Linked DNA regions of Mus musculus. The protein of the gene in region 1 purifies or fractionates together with the protein of each later gene. This does not show direct contact. Links are inferred from orthologs where the notes say so. Each region holds a gene or a part of one and is shown on either strand. Other genes may lie near its edges.

Region 1 (3,966 bases):
CATCGCTTATTGACTTTATATTTTGCTTTTGTGGTTCATTACAGGTTACAGGTGTGATAGACACAAACAAACACGAAAAACCCAGTGCCTGCGCTCTAACAGAGCTTTGCCTCTCAGTAGGGAAAGGGATGGTAGTACAGTTTTTTCTGTGCAGGTACATTTGGTATATTTCCATTAGATCTTTTGTGTTTTGTTTTGTTTTTCAAGATAGGGTTTCTCTGTGTACCCCTGGCTGTCCTGGAACTCACTTTGTAGACCAGGCTGACCTTGAACTCAAAAAGCTGCCTACCTCTGCCTCCCAGGTGTGCACCACCACTGCCCTGCCAGATGTCTTTCTTGTGTTCATTGATACACATTGGCTTGCTGGCTAATGGGCCTCAGGGATCAGTCTGTCTTCCCATCCATAGCATTTATTTTTTCTTAGTTTTTTTGTTTGTTATTGTTTCTGTTGTTGATATTTGAGACAGTGTCCCATGTGTCTTAAGTCTGGACTCAGAGCTCCATTAGATCTTTGTAGTTTTAGTTTTCTAAAACCTGTGCTACAAATAGAAAAAATTTTTTAAAGATTTATTTATTTTATACATGTGAGTACACTGTTGCTGTCTTTAGACACACCAGAAGAGGGCATCGGATCCCATTACAGATGGTTATGAGCCACCTTGTGGTTGCTGGGAATTGAACTCAGGACCTCTGGAAGAGCAGTCAGTACTCTTAACCGGTGAGCCATCTCTCCAGCCCACAAATAGAAAATTTGGAGGTCAACTTTGAGAATATAAAAACTCAGAGGCAGCCGGGCGTGGTGGCGCATGCCTTTAATTCCAGCACTTAGGAGGCAGAGGCAGGCGGATTTCTGAGTTCGAGGCCAGCCTGGTCTACAGAGTGAGTTCCAGGACAGCCAGGGCTACACAGAGAAACCCTGTCTCAAAAAAACCAAAAAAAAAAAAAAACCCTCAGAGGCTTACATGTTGGTTCATTCTGTACTCTAGGTATTTGGAAGGCTGAAACAAAAGAATTTCAGAGAGTTCAAGACCAGCCTGAGCTACATAGTAAGACTGTCTTTAAACTCAAAGAGAAGCTGAGTATTGTGGCATGTACCATTAATTTCAGCACTCTGAGAAGTAGAGACCATTGATTCTCTGTTAGAGGTCATCTTGATCTACCTAGCAAAGTTCCAGGCCAGCCACAGATCCTGAGTAAAAATAAAATAAAAATAGGCGGCCTTTTTTCATGGAGAGAAGATATGCTAGGGATTAATGCCATGGAGCCTTGCTTACAACTGGACAAGCACCTTTACCACTGAGCTATATACCCAACTTCTAGACTGGGTTTGTTTTGTTTTTTTTAAAGATTCAATTGGGGGGGGGGCTTGTTTTGTTTGGGGGTGTTTTTGTTTTGTTTTTAAAAAGGCAGTTGGAGCCGGGCGTGGTGGCGCCCTTTAATCCCAGCACTAGGGAGGCAGAGGCAGGTGGATTTCTGAGTTCAAGGACAGCCTGGTCTACAAAGTGAGTGCCAGGACAGCCAGGGCTACACAGAGGAAACCCTGTCTTGAAAAACCAAACAAAACAAAACAAAACAAAACAAAACAAAAAACGGCAGTTGGGCAGTGGTGGCACATGCCTTTAATCCCAGTATTCTGACTTGGGAGTCAGAAGCCGGTGGATTTCTGAGTTCAAGGCCATTCTGGTCTACAGAGTGAGTTCCAGGACAGCCAGGGCTACACAGAGACCCTGTCTTGAAAAACCAAAAAAAAAAAGGCAGTTTCTCTTTGTGATCCTGGCTGCCATGGAACTTGATCTGTAGATCAGGCTGGCCTCTCCCTTGTTGGGATTAAAGGTGACTACCACCACCTGCTAATTGTGTGAGTGTTTGTCTGTGTCTGGGGAGGGCGGGTAGTATGAATACTTTGCAGGTACCTGTGGAGGCCAGAGGGCATTAGATTCACTGGAATTGGAATTACCCATGTTCAGGTCCTCTGCAAGAATAACAAGCACTCTTAACTACTGAATCATCTCTCCAACCCCCAAATTGGTAGTTTTAAATGGGTTTATTAAACTATAATTTATGTGCCTTAAGAGTCAACTACTCTAGGCAGTGGTGGCACATGCCTTTAGTCCCAACACTGGCTTTTAACCCCAGCATTTGGTAAGCAGAGGCAGGCAGGTATCTTGAGTTTGGGTTCAGTCCACAGAATGAGGTTTAGGACCGCACTCACTCTCAAAAAAATAAAAAATAGTAAAAGAGCCACCCATATCCATTGAAATTGTACAATGTGATGTTTCTTGTTTTGTTCTTTGAGACAAGGGTTTTGTCTTATTTGTTGTTGTTTGTTTTGTTTTTTCGAGACAGGGTCTGTAGACCAAGCTGGCCTTGAACTCAGAAATCCACCTGCCTCTGCCTCTCAAGTGCTGGGATTAAAGGCGTGCACTACCTACCCAGCTTGTCTTGTTTTTCGTTTTGTTTTGTTCTGTTTTGTTTGGTTTAGTTTGGTTTTTCGAGACAGGGTTTCTCTGTATAGCCCTGGCTGTCCTGGAACTCACTTTGTAGACCAGGCTGGCCTCGAACTCAGAAATCTGCCTGCCTCTGCCTCCCAAGTGCTGGAATTAAAGGTGTGCGCCACCATGCCCAGCATTGTCTTGTATTTTTGAGACAAGGTTTCTCTCCTTGTAGCTCTGGCTGTTCTGGAAACTATTCTGTAGACCAGACTAGCTTTGAACGCTGAGATTGGTCTGGCTTGTTACTGTGTGTCCATTACAGAACATTTCTTCAGTTTAATCTAAAATATATCTTGCCAGGGTATGTCAGAGAAACGGAAACAGAAAGAAAGCGTATGTTTTCTTACAAACTCAGTATACTGTTTTTGAGATTTTTCTCAATGTATTTTGTTTCTTTTTGTTGCTTAATACTATTCCATTATACAGTTGCATCATATTTTTGTTCATCCATTCATCAGTTGGTGACTGTTCAGGTTTGTTTTAGGGTTTGGCTACTAAAATGTTGCTATAGGGCTGTACTCTCTGTGGTGGAGCAGATATAAAATCCTGGTTTAGGGTTTGATCCTCAGTCCTGAAAAAAATACTGCTGCTATAATAGTTCTTTACATGACTTTTATGAACATACTTTTTCCCACGTCTCTTCTGTGAATATTGAAGATTAAATTTGTTGGATTTCTTTTTCTCTGCAGAGCTGCAGCTCAAGCCTATGGCACTGCATATGCTAGCGCCTTACCATTGAACTATACCCTAAGTATAGATTTCCTGTCCTTCCCTCACATGTCCTCCTTACAACAACCCTTCGCAATGAAAACAGCTAAGCTAAGGATGTAGTTTGCAAACACTCGCCAGTTCTGCCGAGATGGGAAGTGGGTGAAAACAGGGCATTATCCTATCCCTCATTCTTTCCTTTTGTCTTTATTTTTGTCCAGGGAGCACAATACTTGGGAACCTGAGAAGAACTTGGATTGTCCTGAACTAATTTCTGAGTTTATGAAAAAGTATAAGAAGATGAAGGAGGGTGAAAACAATAAGCCCAGGGAGAAATCAGAAGGAAACAAGAGGAAATCCAGTTTCTCCAACAGCGCTGATGATATTAAATCTAAAAAAAAGAGAGAGGTGAGCTTCCTGCTCCTGTCACTGTCCTCTTGCTCCTGCTGTGCAAACGGGGTTTAGGTTTTCTCTTCTAAGGATGGACCTTAAGGTATATTGTTAAACAAAAGCTTGCAGGGAAGTGTGTTGATTAGCTACAGTGACCCCTTCTGGCTGAGTGAGAACTAGTAGTGGTAATTGTATTTAAAGTGTGAAAATTCATATGAAATGGAATCTATTTTGTCTCTCCCATGAATAGAAATGTATATGAGTGAGTGTCTGGTGTGTGGGTACCCAAGGAAGCCAGAAGATGTAGGATTCCCTGCAGGTAGAGTTACAAGTAGTTGTAAGCTCCCTAAAGTGAGTGCTGGGAACCAAAATTAGG
Region 2 (4,674 bases), on another chromosome or scaffold:
AGTAGGTACAGGAACCGCTGCCTTAATTAAGACCCCCCAATACTATGAAGAACTACGTGCAGCTATGGATGTTGATCTTAGAACTATAGAACAGTCTATAACCAAATTAGAAGAATCTTTAACTTCCCTGTCCGAAGTGGTGCTACAAAATAGAAGGGGATTAGACTTATTATTCCTTAAAGAAGGAGGACTCTGTGCTGCCCTAAAAGAAGAATGTTGTTTTTATGTTGACCATTCAGGAGTAATCAAAGATTCTATGGCCAAACTTAGAGAACGCCTAGATATACGTAAAAGAGAAAGAGAAAGCCAACAAGGATGGTTCGAAAGCTGGTTTAATAAGTCCCCTTGGCTCACCACTCTCCTCTCCACCATAGCAGGACCTTTAATTACACTTATGCTTTTGCTTACTTTTGGCCCCTGCATCCTTAATAAGTTGGTAGCTTTTATTAGAGAAAGGATAAATGCAGTACATGTTATGGTACTAAGGCAACAATATCGGGTCCTCCAAGAGGTTGAAAACTGGCTCTAAGATTAGAGCTGTTTTCTAAAAGGAGTGGGGGATGAAGAATAAAGATAAAAAATTACTGAACTCTTCCTCACCCCAGAGCCCGACCCCTCCCATCTAGAGATTGTTCCCAGAACACTCCTGAACTCTTCACCCCAGAATGCATTCCTGAACTCCTCATCCTAGAGTTCGAACCCTCCCAACTAAAGACTGTTCCAAGAACATTTTTGAGATAAGGGCCTCCTGGAACAACCTCAGAATGAACCGGGTACATTGCCAAATAATAGGACATGACCCCTTAGTTACGTAGAATTCCCTTGGCAGAACCCCTTGTCCCTTGGCAGAACCCCTTAGTTATGCAAACTTGTACTTTCCCTGCCCCGCTCTCCCCCCTTGAGTTTTTCTTATATAAGCCTGTGAAAAATTTGGCTCGAGGTCGATTCTCCTCTACACCATACTAGGTGTATGAGCTTTGACCCCAGAGCTCTGGTCTATGTGCTTTCTTGCTGTTGCTTTATTAAATCTTGCCCTCTACATTTTGAGTTCGGTCTCAGTGTCTTCTTGGGTCCGCGGCTGAGTGAGGGTCTCCCTTCGGGGGTCTTTCATTTGCACACCACACCTCCTCCTTGGTTCCCAAGCAAGGAACCTGGCCAGGGTGCAGCGATCCTATTCCACAAAGAAGCGGGTACCAATCCTGAAGAAGGCAGTCACAGGAACAAAGGCGGAATGTCTCCTGGAAAAGGAAGTGGACAGGCATAACCTCGTCGTTCAGTGCTCCTGCTATTTGTGGAGACCGAAATTCGGAGTGGGCCGAGCCGGCCAGGCCATTCACGCCCCCTTGTGTCCGGAGCGACTTTGGAGCGGAGCAGCAGGGAAGGTGGAGGTGCCTGTGCACCGAGGCGCGCAGACGCACAGGCAACCGAGACCCGGCGGGCTGCGGGTGTTGTCAGTGCGCAGGCGCTGAAGATCCCCGGGAATCCGCGCGCCGCTGTGAAGCCGCAGTGCGCAGGCGCGGAGCCTCCCCAATGAGGGCACGCGTGACCAGGCTGTACACACAGCGGCTGGTCCTAGTCGGAGCCCCAAAGGCAAGCATTTGGTTTCCGGTTCCGGGAGTAAGCAACCGCCGCAGAGGCGACTGTTTTGGAAGAGGCACTGGTGGAGGAGGAAGAGAAGAAGAGTGGAACGGGCCGGTCGCGCTAGTGGGATCCTTCTCATGGGTCCACGGGCCTAGAGCGGAGGAAGCTGCGGGCCTGGTGTCAAGCTGGTGAGACAGCCGTGGGAGTGGCGACAGCTCGGGAGGAGGCTGTGGAGGCTCGGAACGCTAGCGGGGGCCCTCGCCTCCGGAGAAGGAATGACTTCCTCTGAATGTTTAAAGAGGGGACTGGGGTAACTGGACAGAAAGACCGAAGAGGAAGGGATGTGGCTCAGGGCATTGACAGCGGTGTCTAGATTCTGGGACTAGGATGGCGAGGAGTAGAAGAGAGAGAACGTTCAGAGAGTCATTGAGTCTTCGTGTTAAACAGGATAGAAATGGCGTCCCAAAGCTGATCATGCAAAGATAAGGCCTCGAGACGGGAGAAATAGTTAGAATAATGAGGGACTGGACACTCTTGGTGGACAAAAAGAAGTAGAATGTCCGATGGTTGGGAGGGAAGGCCTTGTCTTGGAACACAAAACTAGGAAATTGGGAGGCCAGGTCACTGTGGAGGGAAAAGGAAGTTTCACAAGATGATAAGAGGAATGGAGAATGGTAATACAGTTAGAGAAAGAGTAGCTAACACCGGCTGTAGGGGTGAGCAATAGAGACGCTTGGGACCGAGACTGGAGAAGAGTTGTGGGTCTGAATAATGAGGGGAAAATAAGCTCTGGGGCCAACTCTTGAACTTAAGAGGGAGGCTTCCAACCTGAGGAATGGGAAGAATGTGTGGTAATGTTTGATCCAGTGTATGGAGGAGTTGGGGGCTCTGATCCATAAATGCAGCTAGAACACCGGGAGACGTTGGAAACTCAGGTCAAGGAAAGTTTAAATGGGTGCTTAGAACACTGAAGCAGGGTCCCAAGGACCAGAGAATTAGGGACCTCTTACCCAGAATAGGAGGACCGAGTCTTCTCAGACTGAGGAAGGGTGATATGCATGTTTGGAGGAGAACAAAGAGGGAGAAACAGGTTGCTTTTGTGGCCTGGAAATACTTTGCCACTCTCCCCTATACTCTACTTTCTTTCAATCTTGCAGGCTTCTGTTCTGTCCCTGAAGCATCTATGGCTGAGTCCTGGCAGGACTGCCCAGCCCTGGGCCCTGGCTGGAAACGCCGAGAGTCCTTTCGAAAGTCAGGGGCCTCGTTTGGACGCTCAGACATCTATTACCAGAGGTAACGGGTGTGCTCTGGGCAATGTTCAGTGGCGTTGGACCTTGTTAGTAATTAGAGCAAAGGGGTGTGTTTAAATCTATGGATGGAGTTAAAATTGTGCACATAGTCCTTATTACAAGTTTTGTGTTTTCTTAATCATGTATTCCTAATAAAGTTGATTTAATTTGGTCAAAGTCAATATTCACGGTGCATTTGTGATTATTCACAGACAAACATGGAACAGCTAAGAATTTGAATTGTCTAGTGCGTGTATTCGGAATCAAAGTTAAACAAGAACTCTCTCTCTCTCTCTCTCTCTGGTTCTGTAAACTGGTCATTCTTTCTACTGTCTCTTTAGAGCCATATTTTTGTTGGCAAATGTGTTGTTTAAAATGACTCCCAAATAAAGTGCTGAATTATTTTCTAGTGTTCTGAGCACGAGAAGATTTTCTTTCCTCCTTGTCAGATAAGCTTTTCTTCCACACATGAATTGCAGTGCTGTCTGGTTGAGTTGCTGTGTTCAAAAATTAGAACTGGTCCATCCAGAACAAGAAGAACAAACTTGCTGAGATGTGTGTGAGGCTGCTCTGGAAAGAACAGAAATTGTTGTAGGCTATTTAGTCACACTGTGAACCCCCTGAGACTGATTAGACCTACTAGGAAAAAAGTCTTGTTTGTAGCTGTGGTGTGGCTCAAACTTAGGTCAAGAGGCAGAACAAGCAACCAGTTGACAGGAAGTGAACATAAGATAATTAAAATATCATAGAGAATAAGAGGTAGTCATGAGGGTGGATAGAGAGATGCACAGGAAGTAGAAGGGAGGGACTTTCAGTTTGAAGAAGGGATTTTGTGTGAGTGGGAAAAGCTTGCTGGGCTGTCAGCAGAGGAGGAAGGTCAACTGGGTGCTTTCTCTGCCTCTCTGAGCTATCGGGCTCCCAAGTCTTCAATGGTAAAATCGAATGATTGAGATTTTTGTTAAAAAACAAGAAATTACCATCTATAGTGCTTGATGAAGCTTCAGAGAAGTTGTTAAGGTAGCCGTGAACCAATGGCCTTACAGTAAAGCACAGTACCAGCATCGTTACAGGGAAAGCCAAAAATGTATCAGCCATCATTAGGGAAATGGAACCCTCTCAGCTGGTGCTGGCTGGCCTGTGTGTCTCAGAAGATGATGTGGTGGAGAAACACTGTACTTACGGTATATGTTCTGTACAGCAGGTGTCTTCAGGAAAACAACAAAACATTAGCAGACAAACCTAGATAAAACATCCTCTAAAGCCATTGGCTCTTAGTCATTAACAATCATGGAGTCATTTGTACGAAACCAGTGTTTTTAAGCAGAGACTCATAAAACAGAGGACAATTGATCAGTTGCTTGAAAATGTGACAGGCTTGCTGGAACCCACCTGTGTCTCCTGTAGGCACAGTGGTCCTTGTTTCAAAAATTCAGGGTTTGTAGCAACTTCATAATACGTAATTAATATATATAGTGAAAATTGACTGTAAATGTATCAACATTGAAGTTTATAAGCATGGTGTTATTGATGGAGCTATTAAAAATTTTCACTGTTTATTTAAGTTGCCATTGCCCTAGAAGAATGTAATAAAATTTCACAGTTTTCATTATGTTTATAACTTTTTTCACATGAGGTTATATAAAAATTTCAAAACTTCTAAATAATTGTGTATGTACATATGAATATATATCAAATTAGTAAATCGATTTGTTAGTTTGTGGATGCTGGTAGAAAATGTGATACTTCTGGGCCAGTGATAACAAAGTTTCTCACAGGATCAGAATCCATAATACTGTGCTTTTGA

What was found. Proteins that work in one complex are often made in the same cells at the same time.
Region 2: the proteins of Cbx5 (region 1) and Mbd1 purify together in Homo sapiens (affinity purification with western blotting; 3 studies listed by BioGRID and IntAct, with this or other methods). This does not show direct contact. The link is inferred for Mus musculus from reciprocal best matches to the Homo sapiens genes CBX5 and MBD1.

The regions. Positions count from the first base shown.
Region 1 is NC_000081.6:103,205,134-103,209,099, reverse strand, and holds part of Cbx5 (chromobox protein homolog 5), read left to right. Parts: intron 1-3,421; coding exon 3,422-3,608; intron 3,609-3,966. UniProt on the Homo sapiens protein: Component of heterochromatin that recognizes and binds histone H3 tails methylated at 'Lys-9' (H3K9me), leading to epigenetic repression. In contrast, it is excluded from chromatin when 'Tyr-41' of histone H3 is phosphorylated (H3Y41ph).
Region 2 is NC_000084.6:74,266,665-74,271,338, forward strand, and holds the start of Mbd1 (methyl-CpG-binding domain protein 1), read left to right. Parts: upstream 1-1,510; 5' UTR 1,511-1,769; intron 1,770-2,738; 5' UTR 2,739-2,764; coding exon 2,765-2,874; intron 2,875-4,674. UniProt on the Homo sapiens protein: Transcriptional repressor that binds CpG islands in promoters where the DNA is methylated at position 5 of cytosine within CpG dinucleotides. Binding is abolished by the presence of 7-mG that is produced by DNA damage by methylmethanesulfonate (MMS).